Linked DNA regions of Ovis aries. The protein of the gene in region 1 interacts with the protein of each later gene in a biochemical or structural test. Links are inferred from orthologs where the notes say so. Each region holds a gene or a part of one and is shown in the gene's direction. Other genes may lie near its edges.

Region 1 (4,195 bases):
TCTCAGAGGGAAAGCTATATATATTTATTCTTTAAAATTAGTACCCTAAACTAGCAGAGAATAGTCTTCTCTAGAACACAGTTTTCATTTTATTTAAGGCAATTTAAGGCAGTTTTCATTTAAAATGTGAATTTGAGATTTTAAAAATAAGTTTTAAAAGTTATTAGGTTCAGGCCAAGTTTTCCCAAATCTCGTACTTCTACTATGAATTTAAAATATTCTGTCACCCAGGAGCACAAAATTGCCAAGGTTGAGTGTTTGTGCCACATATAGGGGGCCATGTGATAAACTTATTCCATTCCTTATCCTAATCTGGATCATCAAACACATAGTTGTAGAGGGCATGGTAATCAGTATTTGTTCCAGATCTCGATACAGTCAGTGGAAAGACTCTTACTATCCTCAGTTCTATTTTACTTTTTTATTTTCTTAAAGACTTAAGAATGATGTTCAGGTGCAGAAATCTCTTTAGGATATGGTGGAGGGCAATGAAAGAGTTTGGGGATACGGGATTATTTAAAGTGTAATTTAGATCTTTTTCTTCTCCCACAGAAGTGTGAATTTTTGTGTTTTTAAGAACATTTAAAATTCTGATGTGAGAATATTTTAACATTTAAGAAAAGAAAAATTTTGCTTTTTAATTTTTAAGTCAAAATGTTACATAGATTTTAAAAATGAAATTTAAAACAGTGAGGTGAAAACAGCTCAGCCATATATGTGTGTGAAATGTGACAAAAATGTATCTAACTCATATTCATATATATATTTATATATATATGAAAAGTTTCTTTACCCTGTTGAGGACATCTTTCCTAGTTTTCTATTACCTCTTTCTATTAAAACAAACTTTATTTGTTTTGTTTTTTGGCTGCCTTGAGTCTTAAGTTGAGCATGAGGGATCTTCCCCTTGGGACATGCAGAATCATGCTCTTTGACCCAGACTGAGATTCATTATTTTAGAAAAGCATAAATATACATTAGCTTTCAGTATCAGAAATGAAAGTAATGGGATCTGGATTACGTGTAGCACCACTTCTGTGATGAACTATTTGAATACCTCAAATTTTTATTGTGCCAATATTGGGAGAGAAAAAAACCCAACCCTGAGAGGACAGTAGATTTCTTATGACTAGAAACAATAAGACGACCCTATCTTGGAACGCGCTTGCGCTCAGACTCAGTTGGCGCCCGCCCTTCTGCTTTTTCTCCAGCCGCCGTTTCCTCCACCTTTCGCGCTCTAGCCACCCGGGGAGGCCAGCGTTAAGGGAAGCTAGGCTCTGATTGGCTCCTTTAAAAGTCTACGGGCTATCTGATTGGTGAATCCAGGACCCTTTAGCGCGGTGAGTTTGAAACTGCTCGCACTTAGCTCCAAAGCTGGCGCTTGGAAGTTAGGGAGAGCGTCGCCGACTTGGTAGCCGCCGCAGCTTTCGCCGCGGGATAAAGCCGGGTAGCGTTGGTGAGGTCAGGGTGTTGCCTATGGGGTGTCCACTCGGAAGGGCTGGCTCGCGGACCTTGGAGGGGGAGTATTAATGAAGCAGGTGATAATTGGGAGGCTGGGCTCTGGGCAGTGGGGTTCTGCGTACCGCCAAGCCCGGCCTTAACCGGAGGCCCCGGGCCTGCGCATGGAGCGACGCCCAACCTCGGCTTCAGTGGGAGGCGTGGGGGAGCCCAGCCCGGCCAGGCAGGGTTGGCATTGCTGTGGTCTCTGAATTGCAATCTGGGGTCGCGGGCGGCTGAGGAGGCTTTCTGGGGTTGATGGAAGGCAGATTTGTGCCTTCGTTCGCCGACACCAAGCGCTTGTGGAGTGCCAGGCTCTGCCCTGCAGCTCCTAGCTTCGCCTCCGGGAGTGGAAAGCAAGATTGCAACTCAGCCCGGTGCTCGGGCCTGCTTCTAATCCCAGGTGGTCACGGGAAACCGACCGGAAGAACTAACTTGTGGGCCTTCTCAGCTTGCCTCTCTGCTCCCATGACCCTAGCTTACCTGGAGCTTTTAAGAACACTTATCCTGGGCATAGACCCCGAGAGAACTTGGATTTTTTGGATTTTATTTTATGCTTGGTGGTTGTTACATACAATGGAATTGGCAAAAACTGGAAATCTAAGAAACGCCGAGAGTTAGAAACGTGTCATTTAAAATCCTTTAATCAGTTTTAACGTGCAGGTCTTGCTTTCTTTAAAGACCTGGAGGTGTCTGGGTGGATGAAGCCATTGGTATTTTACATCCTGCCACTAGGAATAGAGGAGGCATTCAAAAGGCATTACGAAGCCACATCCTTTATTTAAAATAGTTGCAACCAGGGAAAGGTGAAAGAGTAATTGAACCCAGCTTTGAAATTGAGTTAGTTTTCAGTTATTTTGTTTAAAATAAGCTCCACAGTTTCATTGTGATTTGGGCATATTACAGCTGGATATTGAAGAAAAGATAGTTAGTCCTAATCCATTGCCATTTGTAAAATTGAACATTTTTAAGATGGCCAGAGTAGTGCAATTTTGTTTATTTAAAAAAGTTTATCTCTGCTTGTGTCTGGAATGATTTTGAAAAAGAATGTGAGAAATTTAACTCAAGGGTCAATGTAACTTAAGGTTCAGTGACCTTTATGATTTTATCAGTGATATAAAATGATGGTTTGGGCTTCTGAAGTTGATGTTTCCATGGCAAACTTACCAGGAAGTCTTGAGTATCTGGTTGTCATTTGGGCTTTTTTTTTCTTAACCATTTTTTTGTGTGTGTGATTCAAGTATATGGACATTCTTTGTTCTTGACATTGCATGGGATATAATTAGACTTTATGTATGGAATTGCCCATTTTCTTTTAGAGTGCTTAGTGATATTTCCTACTTTACAAAAGGTATCTTGAAAGTTTTTTTTTATCATGTTTGTGTTACGTGACTCCTGACAACAAGAGAAAGATAAAAACTGTCATTTGAGCAAGTTGAAATGAATATACTTTTGCTGCTTTAAATATTTTCTAATGGTTGAACAGTGTGACCACATTTTAGCTCCCTACTCATGTCTTTAAAAATTGTTTATTAACTTCATAAAAGTATCATGAAGCTACAAATTCAAGTAGCATTCATTGCTAAACTATTTGGGTATAACTGGCGCACATTGATGAGCCTTGGAAGTCTTATGTAAAGAACATCAGGGTTTTCTTTGGGACGGATAGATGTTGATGTCTGAATTTGAAAGTTAATTTTGAAAGAAGCCCCCAGGTGGCTCTAGTGGTAAAGAACCTGCCTGCCAGTGCAGGGAACATAACAGACAGTGGTTTCCATCCCTGGGTCAGGAAGGTACCTTGGAGGAGGGCATGGCAATCCACTCCAGTATTCTCGCTTGGAGAATCCTATGGCAGAGGAGCCTGGCAGGCTCCATAGGATCACACAGAGTCGGACACTGAAGCGACTTAGTATACCAAAGTTATCCAGGTATAGGATATACAAATATTTCCAATGTTTCAGAAGCTAAGAAAGGTGGGAGAGTCTTGAGCTCTTCCCCTTGTAAATATTGTTTTAATAGAATAGCTAATATTATGGAAAAATTTTTAAAAATTTATTTGTATTTGGCTGCACTGGATGTTCATTGCCACAAGTGACTTTCTCTAGTTGAGGCAAGTGGATGCTACTCTCTGTTGCGGTGCACCAGCAAGGTGCACAGGCTTCAGTAGTTGTGATGCTTGGGCTTAGTTGCCCTGTGGCATGTGGAATCTTCCTGGACCAGGGATTGAACCTGTGTTCCCTGCATTGACAGGTGGATTCCTATCCACTGCACCGTGAGGGAAGTCCTATTATGGAAAGTTAGTACTGCTCTAGGCACAGTGGGAAATTCTTTACTTGTAATATCTTATCAATAACTTAAAAGCACCCTTTGAATTGGTGACATGTGATCAAATAAGCTTTTCTTCTCATTTTAGGATCTACCGTACCCACTGATTAACTATGGAAGACTATACCAAAATAGAGAAAATTGGAGAAGGTGAGTGGCTTTAATAATATACAAGGAATTTTAAAAATGATTTAATGGTTTGACATGTAAATATTCAAATTCAGTTTTTAAAGTATCCAACAGTCATTAGTACATTAATATATATGTTCTCATATATATATGCTATATATAGTAGCATAAGCAAAAAAAAAAAGTTAACCTTTCAAGAGCACTGAAATTATTCTGACATGTCTCCCTACCAGCATCCCTCCAA
Region 2 (4,121 bases), on another chromosome or scaffold:
TTCCGTTAAAGCATGATTCCGTTAGGCTTTTAGCTCGAGCTCATAGGTGACCGTCTTCCCTGCCCCGCACGTGAGCTCTCAATTTGGAATCTCAGTTTATGTGGGTGAGGGGGTTACTTTGCCCTATAGTTACACCCTACTAAAAAAAAAAATCGGAATAACCTTAACTTCACTGCCAGATAAATCAAAAAGGGCGACTGTATCCTAAGTGGAATAGCACTAACTCCTCTGGGTGGAGACAGGCTCACCCCATGATCTTTTTTTTTTTTTTTAATACTTGAAAAATGCTGGCATCTTAATACTTTGTAGAGAAGTTAGCACGAGGGACATGAACAATCATCCTTGATAAATGATTTTTAACGCTGACACGTGCTTGGCACTGCAACACTGGAAAGGGTTTGAACAAGGCGCTCTGAATGAGGAATCTGAAATAATCGTGACTTCTCTCTTTCCCAGGGTTTCTAAGGCGATGGGCACTGTGGGATCGACTAGCCAAAGTCCAGTGGGACCCGAGTCGGGCCAAGCGGCCGAGGGGCGGCAGCAGACAAAAGTAGCCGGCAGGGCGCTCCGCTCGGCTCGGGGGACGGCGCATCGGCCACGCCGGAGGGCGGGAGGCTCGCAGCTCCTCGCCCGAGACCAGCCGGGCTGGAGCTGGGGCCGTAGAGGGCGTCTGGCCGGCAGACCGGGCGCCGCGAGCCCTCGTGTCCGGCTCTTCCCGCCCGCCGGCCGGCCGGCCAGGGCCTCCGCTGCGCGCGCGGGGAAAAAGAGCGCGGCAGTTGAAACCGTTACCACCCCGAGTTTTGAACTGGTTCAAACTTGGCTTTCGGCCCCGCCCCGCCCCTCCGGCCCGGGAACACCGAAGCGGCGGTTCCCGCCAAGCGCCGCGAGCGCGCCGTCCCGCCCTCCGGCCGGTTCCCGCCACCCCGCCCAGCCCGCCTTCCCGCCCGCGGTTTGGGGATTCGGGCTCCGGAGGCCCTTCTTCCCCGAACGCCGGCCCCACCGCCTTCCTGAGAGGCGCCGGGCGTTCGGAGAAAAGAACAAAGAGCCGGCGCGGCGCTTCCACTCAGGCGGCAGCGTCCCTCAGCGCCTGCCCGCCCGCGCGCACGCGCCGCCGGCCCGGCCCGGCAGAGTCCCGCGGGCGCCTCTGCGTGGGGCTGGCTCGGCGCCTCAGAGGCCGGCGGGCCCTGTGATTGGACGGGAGCCCGCCTCGCGTCCCGCCAATCGGGGCGGCGCTTGGTTGGACAGGGGGGGCCAAATAAAAGCGATGGCGATTGGGCTGCCTGGTTTGGCGCTCGGTCCGGGAGCGTCCGACACCCACTGGGACGCAGAAGGCGGTGGAGCCCCGGCGGCGGCGGCAGCGGTGGCGCGCGGGAGCGGCGCGCGGGAGCGGCGCGGGCTGGGGCGCGGGGCGCAGGTAACGCGCCGCTGTCGGGCCGGCAGGCCGGCCGGCCGGCGGGGCTCCGGAGCTCGGCGTGGGGCGGCGGCGGCGGGACATCTCCGCTGCCGCTCAGCCGGTCCGGGTAATCCTCCCCCCACCCCCACAAGCGGGCTTTCCCGGGGAGCCTCTGGGGCTCGTGGGGGTGAGAAGAGACCTCCCCTCACCCCCCTCGGAAAGGGCTGTGGGCCCGGGCCGATCCGCGCGACCCCCGCGGGCGGGCTGTGTGGGAGCCAGAGAAACCCGAGGCGGGAGCCCGGGCGGGCGCCGAGCGGAGGGTTTGCGGGGGGGGGGGGGTCCCCTCGCGCGCCCGTTCCTCCCGAGGCGCCGGGGCCGGGCTGGGGGCGCTCGGGTGCCCGGGGCGGGCCGGCCGCCCGAGCCCCCGGTCTCCTTTGTGTGGAGCGGCACGGCGGCGGGAGCGCCCGGGTGGGACGGGACCCACACAAGTTGATGGGACCTCAGCGCCGAGTGCGCACTCAGAGACAAAGGACGGACTGTGTCTCGGGGGAGCTCGGCGCGAGTCAGGGGCAGTGACACCGGGGCCTGACAGCGGGCGGAGAGGGGGCGTGGGGAGCGGGCGGGCGGGCTCGGCCCCACGCCCCCTCCCCGCGAGCGCGCAGGCTCGGCCCGGGGCCGCGGGGGCCGGGACGGCGCGCGGAGACCGGACTCGGGCGTCCGCGCTTGCTGACATTTCCGCCGAAAGCTGCCCCGGAGCCCTGAGGCCCCGAGCCCCGCTCGGACCAGGCGGTCCCCGGCCGCCTCTGTCGTCTCGGCGGGGCTCTCCGTTAAGTTTGAGGGGCGGGTCGCGCTGTTCTACCCCCCACCCCCGCCCCCATCTCCGCGGTTTTGTTCGTTACGGAGGGCTTTCCGTCGAGTTCACGCGTCCTTGTGGGCCCCCCACCCCCATCTCCGCCTCCCCAAAAGTCGGTGCCTCAGGGTCACTTTGTGAAGAACGGGAGGGATCGAGAAGCGTGGTATTTTGGAAAACTTAGTGAACTCAACGCCTGGTGAATCCCCAGTTTCTGAAGAATCATCATCTTCCAAAAAAAAAAAAAAAAAAAGAAACCTGTCCAGGCTGTTTTGGCCAACTCGTGTGAGACTGGCGACAGGTGCTAACGAAATCAGCTGTCATTTAGTGAGGAGAGATTGTTCCCCGAATCCCTAGGGGATGAACGGGGAAGAGATGGTACAAAGAGTTGGTCCAAAGAAAACGCTTATGCTAAATGTGTGTTTGGATGGTATGGTTAGCAATTTCTCATTAATTGGACTTGTTTTCCGTGAACAATAGCTTTGTTGAGTCAGAAAAGACTGGCTGCAGAAATGTTCGTTGCCTAAGAAATCGAACGTGTGCTGTCCGCAGTTAAGCTACTTTGTCGCACGGGATCTGTAAAATTTTAATTCATTTGGAAATAAAGATGTCTTTGGTATTTAAAAATGCTTTAAATGCTGCACGGTTTGCTAGCTGGGTTTGAAAGGTCGTTATCAGCTTAGTTTTGTGGCGTTTCAATGTCACATAAAACAACATTTAAAACAACAGTTTAAAAAAGCTTTTAAAAAACACTAATGCTAACACAGGTGAATGTAGTCTGTACTTCTAGGGGGGTTTGAGATCGAGCGGGTGGGATCCTAACCCTTAGATCACTAGGGAGCTAGGGGGGTTGGTTGTGGAGTTTATTTTCTATTACTCCTTATGACCATTAGCAAATATTTTATGTTTGGAGATAAAATGTAGAGCAAGTGTGTAATCCTAACTATTGATCATTTTATTTGCAAGAAAACGAAAGTATTCAAGATACATTTTAATTTCCTTTTCCTATTCCCTAAAGTTAGGAATAGATGGGGTTCTAGTCTTAGATATAGAGAATCCTATTCTCTTTTTGGAGGTGTGTGAGAGAATGTAATGTTTAAAGTCTTGGAAACACTTAGGAAAATGGCATCTTAAATATTAATTTTTGTGGAAAGTGAACGTATTCAAAGGAACGAAATTTAGAAACACTTAGACACTCTTCTTATTTGCATTGTTTTATCTGTTGATCTAATGTGCAGCCTTCTATTTTACGGTTTCAAAAAAGTGGAGACAAAGAAATGTAGTGTAAAAGTCTTACACATTTTGCAGTGTTCAACATCACTGAACTGACATTCCAGGTGCTGTTCCTAAGTATTGTCTACATTTATATTAGTTGTTGGTAATTATAAAAAGTCCTACTGATAATCTTGCCCATTGTTAGGAGGTGAGCTAGTTATGCAGATTTTGGCAGAAATTTGAATCTTTTAGAATACAAAATTCAGTTTTCCCCATCTTGTGTACATTATATTTGATAATTACTATCTTTGTACTTGCCACAAGATTTTGTTTGAAAAGGTTTTTGGGGGAATTGGTTTTAAATTTTTTGTGTTTGAATTGAGAGTGTATTTAGTTTAAGTAGCAGTGATAAAAAACTATGCTTGTTGATTTAGTATAGTTAGGCAAAGAAAAAGAGCACAAATTCGTTTATACCAGCTTTGCCTTGCATGCATACGTAAAAGTGATTATCTTTGTGTTGACCACTAGAAATGTGTAGGTAGATTTCCCCAGGTCGCATGGAGATTTTCCAGGATATCCCCCATCCTTTGAGCTGGCATGCTCCAGGAGTCTGAGTTAGTTTCTGACTTGGCCTAAAGAAGTGATTAAGAAAGTTGATCTGCT
Region 3 (4,227 bases), on another chromosome or scaffold:
TAATCATTTCATGATATGTGAATCAAGCCATTATGTTGTATGCCTTAAACTTATACATTGATGTATGTCAATTATTTCTCAGTAAAACTGGAAAAAAAAAAAAAAAAAAACTGTTGGGAAAATTTAAGGCGTGAAGTGTCCTGATGCCTGAAAGTAACTTTGAAATGTATCAAAAGATGCACTGTTGGGTGGATAGAGGCAAGGATAAATATCTGATAAAGCAAATACAGAAAAAAATGTTAATTGCAGCACCTAAGGGATGCATATATAGGTGTACACTGTATAGTTCTTCCAACTTTTCTGTATGTTTGAAATTTTTTGTAATAAAATCTGCGAGGGGAGATTTTTTTTAATTGAAAAAGAATTGCGAGCCATTATCGTAACTTCTGTTACAAGCTGTAACATACTTTATGAACGTGAGGTAGAGGTAATGAATTAATAATATAAAGTCCTAAAACAGTCCTTAGAATATTTAATACATATTATATATATATTATCAGTTTGCAACAGAGGAAGTGGACACAAATTGGAAGAGATAGGTGCCTCAGTGAATTTCTCTGAGGGCTTTCAGCCCAAAAGTGCTTTTACTTTTTTTCATTAAAGAATAAAGTTAGCAGATAAGTGTGTGTTTATACTTGGTTTTAAACTGATGAGAACTGGGCTCTAATTAAACTGATGAGAACTGGACTCTAAACTTCCCTGAATTTTTAAAGCTCTGATTGAGATATTGGCTCCTCTGTCTATGGGATTCTCCAGGCAAGAAAACTGGAGTGGGTTGCCATGCCCTCCTCCAGTGGATCTTCCTGACCTGGAGATCGACCCCTCATCCCTATGATCGACCCCTCACCACTCTCTCTCCTCCATTTGCAGGCGGGTTCTTTACCGCTAGTGCCACCTGGAAAGCCCAGGTTTCTGGATATTGTTGTTGTTCAGTCGCTCAGTTGTGTCCAACTCTTTGCGACCCCATGGGCTGCAGCACGCCGGGTTTCCCTGTCCATCGCCATCTCCCGGAGCTTGCTCAAACTCATGTCCATTGAGTCGGTGATGCCATCCAACTGTCTCATCCTTTGTGTCCTGCCCTTCTCCTCCTGACTTTAGTCTTTCTGAAGGCAGTATCAGGGTCTTTTCCAATGAGTCAGCTCTTTGCATCAGATGGCCAAAGTATTGGAGCTTCAGCTTCAGCATCAGTCCTTCCAATGAATACTGAGGATTGATTTCCTTTCTTCCCCAACACCTCACAGTTCAAAAGCATCAACCCTTGGACCGCGCTTTTCTCTTTCCTTTTACCAAAGTGAAAACTACACTTCCCATGAGCGCTCACAGGCGTCGACGTCGCGCAGTTCTTTGTCGTCGCACAGCGCCCTTTATACGCACTTCCGCCCGCTTGCCACTTCCTTTCCTTTCGGCGGCTCGCGTCGGCAAGATGGCCGTGCAAATTTCCAAAAAGAGGAAGGTGAGATCCCGGGGCCCGGTTGCAGGGAAGTGGCGTTTCGCGGGTCAGGAGCCTTTCTGGGTGCTATTGCGAGACTTATAGCTCTTCGCTATGCCCGGGGCAGCGGCCGGACTGTGTCGCTTTCCCGTGGGCTGCGGATGGCGGTGGATTGAGCGCAGGCCCGTGGCTGCTGAGAACGGTATGGCTGGGATAGGAGAGAAGGATTTCTGCCGGTTCCGGGCGGAGAGCAGAGATGAGCACTGAGGGCTCCTCCTGCCGTGGAGGAGCGCTTGTGAGCCTTTCTTAGTCAGTAGTTAGTAAAGTTACTAAATGTGATGTTTTGAATGCATGAGCCTTTCCCTCATCGAATGGTAGCTTTGAGAAAGGGAGGTAGCAGTGTTCGCTTGCCTTCTTCCTAGGCTTGTCTGGGTGCAGGCTTCTGACCCCAAGGACCTCAGTTTGGAAGGTTACTGACAATTTCTTGTTCTATCTTGGGGTCAAGGAAACGTTCTGGGGAAATAGAGGGAAGGGACCTGGGGGAAACGGTTTGATTATTTAAAACCCTTCAATGAAGAGGAGATGACGAGTCTGACTGGAGGTGTTCTCTTTGTCCAGGTGACCCCTACCCTGTGCCGCGTTCTGTGGCACAGTTTTAAGGGCCTGGGTCAAAGTTAACTTCCAAAAGATGACTTAGAGGCATTTGTCTGAGAAGGGTTGCTATGTTTTCTCTGGAACAAGGCAAAATAATTAATGATGGGTCGTTGGTTGGAGGTGTTGAATCTTGATTAGGGTTGCATTGACTGGGCTAGAAACCTGAGCCCATGTCCAGATCCTCATTTTCATTTTGCTTTTGGTTAGTTTGTCGCTGATGGCATCTTCAAAGCTGAACTGAACGAGTTTCTCACTCGGGAGCTGGCCGAAGATGGGTACTCTGGAGTTGAGGTCCGAGTTACACCAACCAGGACAGAGATCATCATCTTGGCCACCAGGTGAAAAATTCATTTTTCTGGCCATCACCTGTAATTGTTGTCTGCACTAAGGTGATTTCTTCTGTAAACGTAGCAGAACAACAGTTGAGTCATCGTGAATGAGTTTTTAAGCTGCATTTAAAAAAAAGATAATCTCTTAGTTCTTGTCATCCAAAATTTATGCTTTCTTGTGTCAGATGAATTAGATTTTTACTACCACACGTGTGCAAGGTTTAAAATTACATCTGTAATGTTATGAGAGCTGTGAATTGTCACTCTTCATTTTCCCCAGGACACAGAATGTACTTGGTGAGAAGGGCCGGCGGATCCGGGAATTGACTGCTGTGGTTCAGAAGAGATTCGGCTTCCCTGAAGGCAGTGTAGAGGTGAGTGATCCTGGCTTGTGCCAGAGGCTACTCTGGAGCTAGAAATGGCTCTTCAGGATGGTGCTGTGCTGTGCTTTGTCGCTCAGTCGTGTCCAACTCTTTGTGACCCCCATGGCCCCAAGGCTTCTCTGTCCATGGGGAGTCTTCCAGGCAAGAATTCTGGAGCTGGTTGCCATGCCCTCCTCCAGGGGATCTTCCCAACCAAGCGATTGAACCCAGGTCTCCCCACATTGCAGGCGGATTCTTTACCATCTGAGCCACCAGGGAAGCCCTCTTTAGGATGGTACTTCTGAAAACTCATATTATCACCCTGAAAGCTTACTTGTGATCAGTGAGTATTACAAATGGATTGGTATTTTGTTGAAGGTCTTTTAATAAGCAGTTGGCAGCAGTTTATACCTATCTTGGAATTAGTAATGATACATAGGAGAGGTTGGCTGCCCATTGATCTCCATGATTTGGCTGTGGAAAGAGGTGGGGGTGGGAGAAAAATGAGGAATGGTTCAGTTCAGTCTGCGTCCCTGAGTGTTTGTTAGATGTGGGCATTAGAAGTGCTTTAATACTTGGGTAGTACAGTGAAGGGCTTCCCAGGTGGCTTACTGGTAAGGAATCTGCGTGCCAATGTAGGAGACGCGGGTTCAGTCCCTGAGTCAGGAAGATCTGGAGGAGGGCATGGTAACCTTCACCAGTATTCTTGCCTGGAGAAGAAGAGGACCCTGGTGGGCTGTAGCCAATGGGGTTGCACACTCATCCACTAAATGAGAACAAATAGAGTGATACATAGAGGGGTGTCTGCTTGAATCATGAATGTGCTGATTTTTAGTTGAAAACGGTGGTGATGAGTGTAACAAGTTTAAGAATGTGCCTTGTTTTCTTTAAAGCTTTATGCTGAAAAGGTAGCCACAAGAGGACTGTGTGCCATTGCCCAGGCAGAGTCTCTGCGTTACAAGCTCCTAGGAGGCCTTGCTGTGCGGAGGTAAGAGTCCTTATGAATTGTGTCCTTTCGTGAATCAGTATATCAGCTATTTTGTTAATTTAGTAAGTGGACTCTGGACAGGCTCAGCTAGTCTCTGAGGGCTTTAACAATAAGACATTGTCAATCCATGTTGCAGCCTAGTTAGAAAGACTAGTAAAGACAAGTGTTTAAAAAAGCGAGTGGTGTTAGTAGAGCACGGTGGGAGTATGAATGTAGGATGGGGGTGGGGAATGGTTTGGGTTCATGTTGAAGTCATTCACATACATTGTGTGGTGGTAACTCTGGGGATTCAAGAGAGAAGACTCATTGCTGAGAAGAGAGCTTAAAATCTAGTCAGGTATGCCCAGTAGGTATTTATAGATAGTGATGTGAGGAACAGAGGACATGAGGTGGTTAGATTGGCCCCGGAGCTGGGCTTGCTGATAAGATTTCAGCTGGCAGTTCCTTGAGTAATTTCACTACTTG

Evidence for each region.
Region 2: of the proteins of CDK1 (region 1) and EZH2, one has a biochemical effect on the other in vitro, tested with the Homo sapiens proteins (5 studies listed by BioGRID). The link is inferred for Ovis aries from reciprocal best matches to the Homo sapiens genes CDK1 and EZH2.
Region 3: of the proteins of CDK1 (region 1) and RPS3, one has a biochemical effect on the other in vitro, tested with the Homo sapiens proteins (2 studies listed by BioGRID, with this or other methods). The link is inferred for Ovis aries from reciprocal best matches to the Homo sapiens genes CDK1 and RPS3.

What each region holds. Positions count from the first base shown.
Region 1 is NC_056078.1:15,814,845-15,819,039, forward strand, and holds the start of CDK1 (cyclin-dependent kinase 1), read left to right. Parts: upstream 1-1,376; 5' UTR 1,377-1,447; intron 1,448-3,910; 5' UTR 3,911-3,935; coding exon 3,936-3,972; intron 3,973-4,195. UniProt on the Homo sapiens protein: Plays a key role in the control of the eukaryotic cell cycle by modulating the centrosome cycle as well as mitotic onset; promotes G2-M transition via association with multiple interphase cyclins.
Region 2 is NC_056057.1:113,214,539-113,218,659, reverse strand, and holds the start of EZH2 (histone-lysine N-methyltransferase EZH2), read left to right. Parts: upstream 1-1,287; 5' UTR 1,288-1,414; intron 1,415-1,504; exon of another isoform or gene 1,505-1,520; intron 1,521-4,121. UniProt on the Homo sapiens protein: Polycomb group (PcG) protein. Catalytic subunit of the PRC2/EED-EZH2 complex, which methylates 'Lys-9' (H3K9me) and 'Lys-27' (H3K27me) of histone H3, leading to transcriptional repression of the affected target gene.
Region 3 is NC_056068.1:53,317,484-53,321,710, forward strand, and holds the start of RPS3 (small ribosomal subunit protein uS3), read left to right. Parts: upstream 1-1,393; 5' UTR 1,394-1,423; coding exon 1,424-1,453; intron 1,454-1,995; exon of another isoform or gene 1,996-2,145; intron 2,146-2,290; coding exon 2,291-2,421; intron 2,422-2,692; coding exon 2,693-2,786; intron 2,787-3,667; coding exon 3,668-3,762; intron 3,763-4,227. UniProt on the Homo sapiens protein: Component of the small ribosomal subunit. The ribosome is a large ribonucleoprotein complex responsible for the synthesis of proteins in the cell. Has endonuclease activity and plays a role in repair of damaged DNA.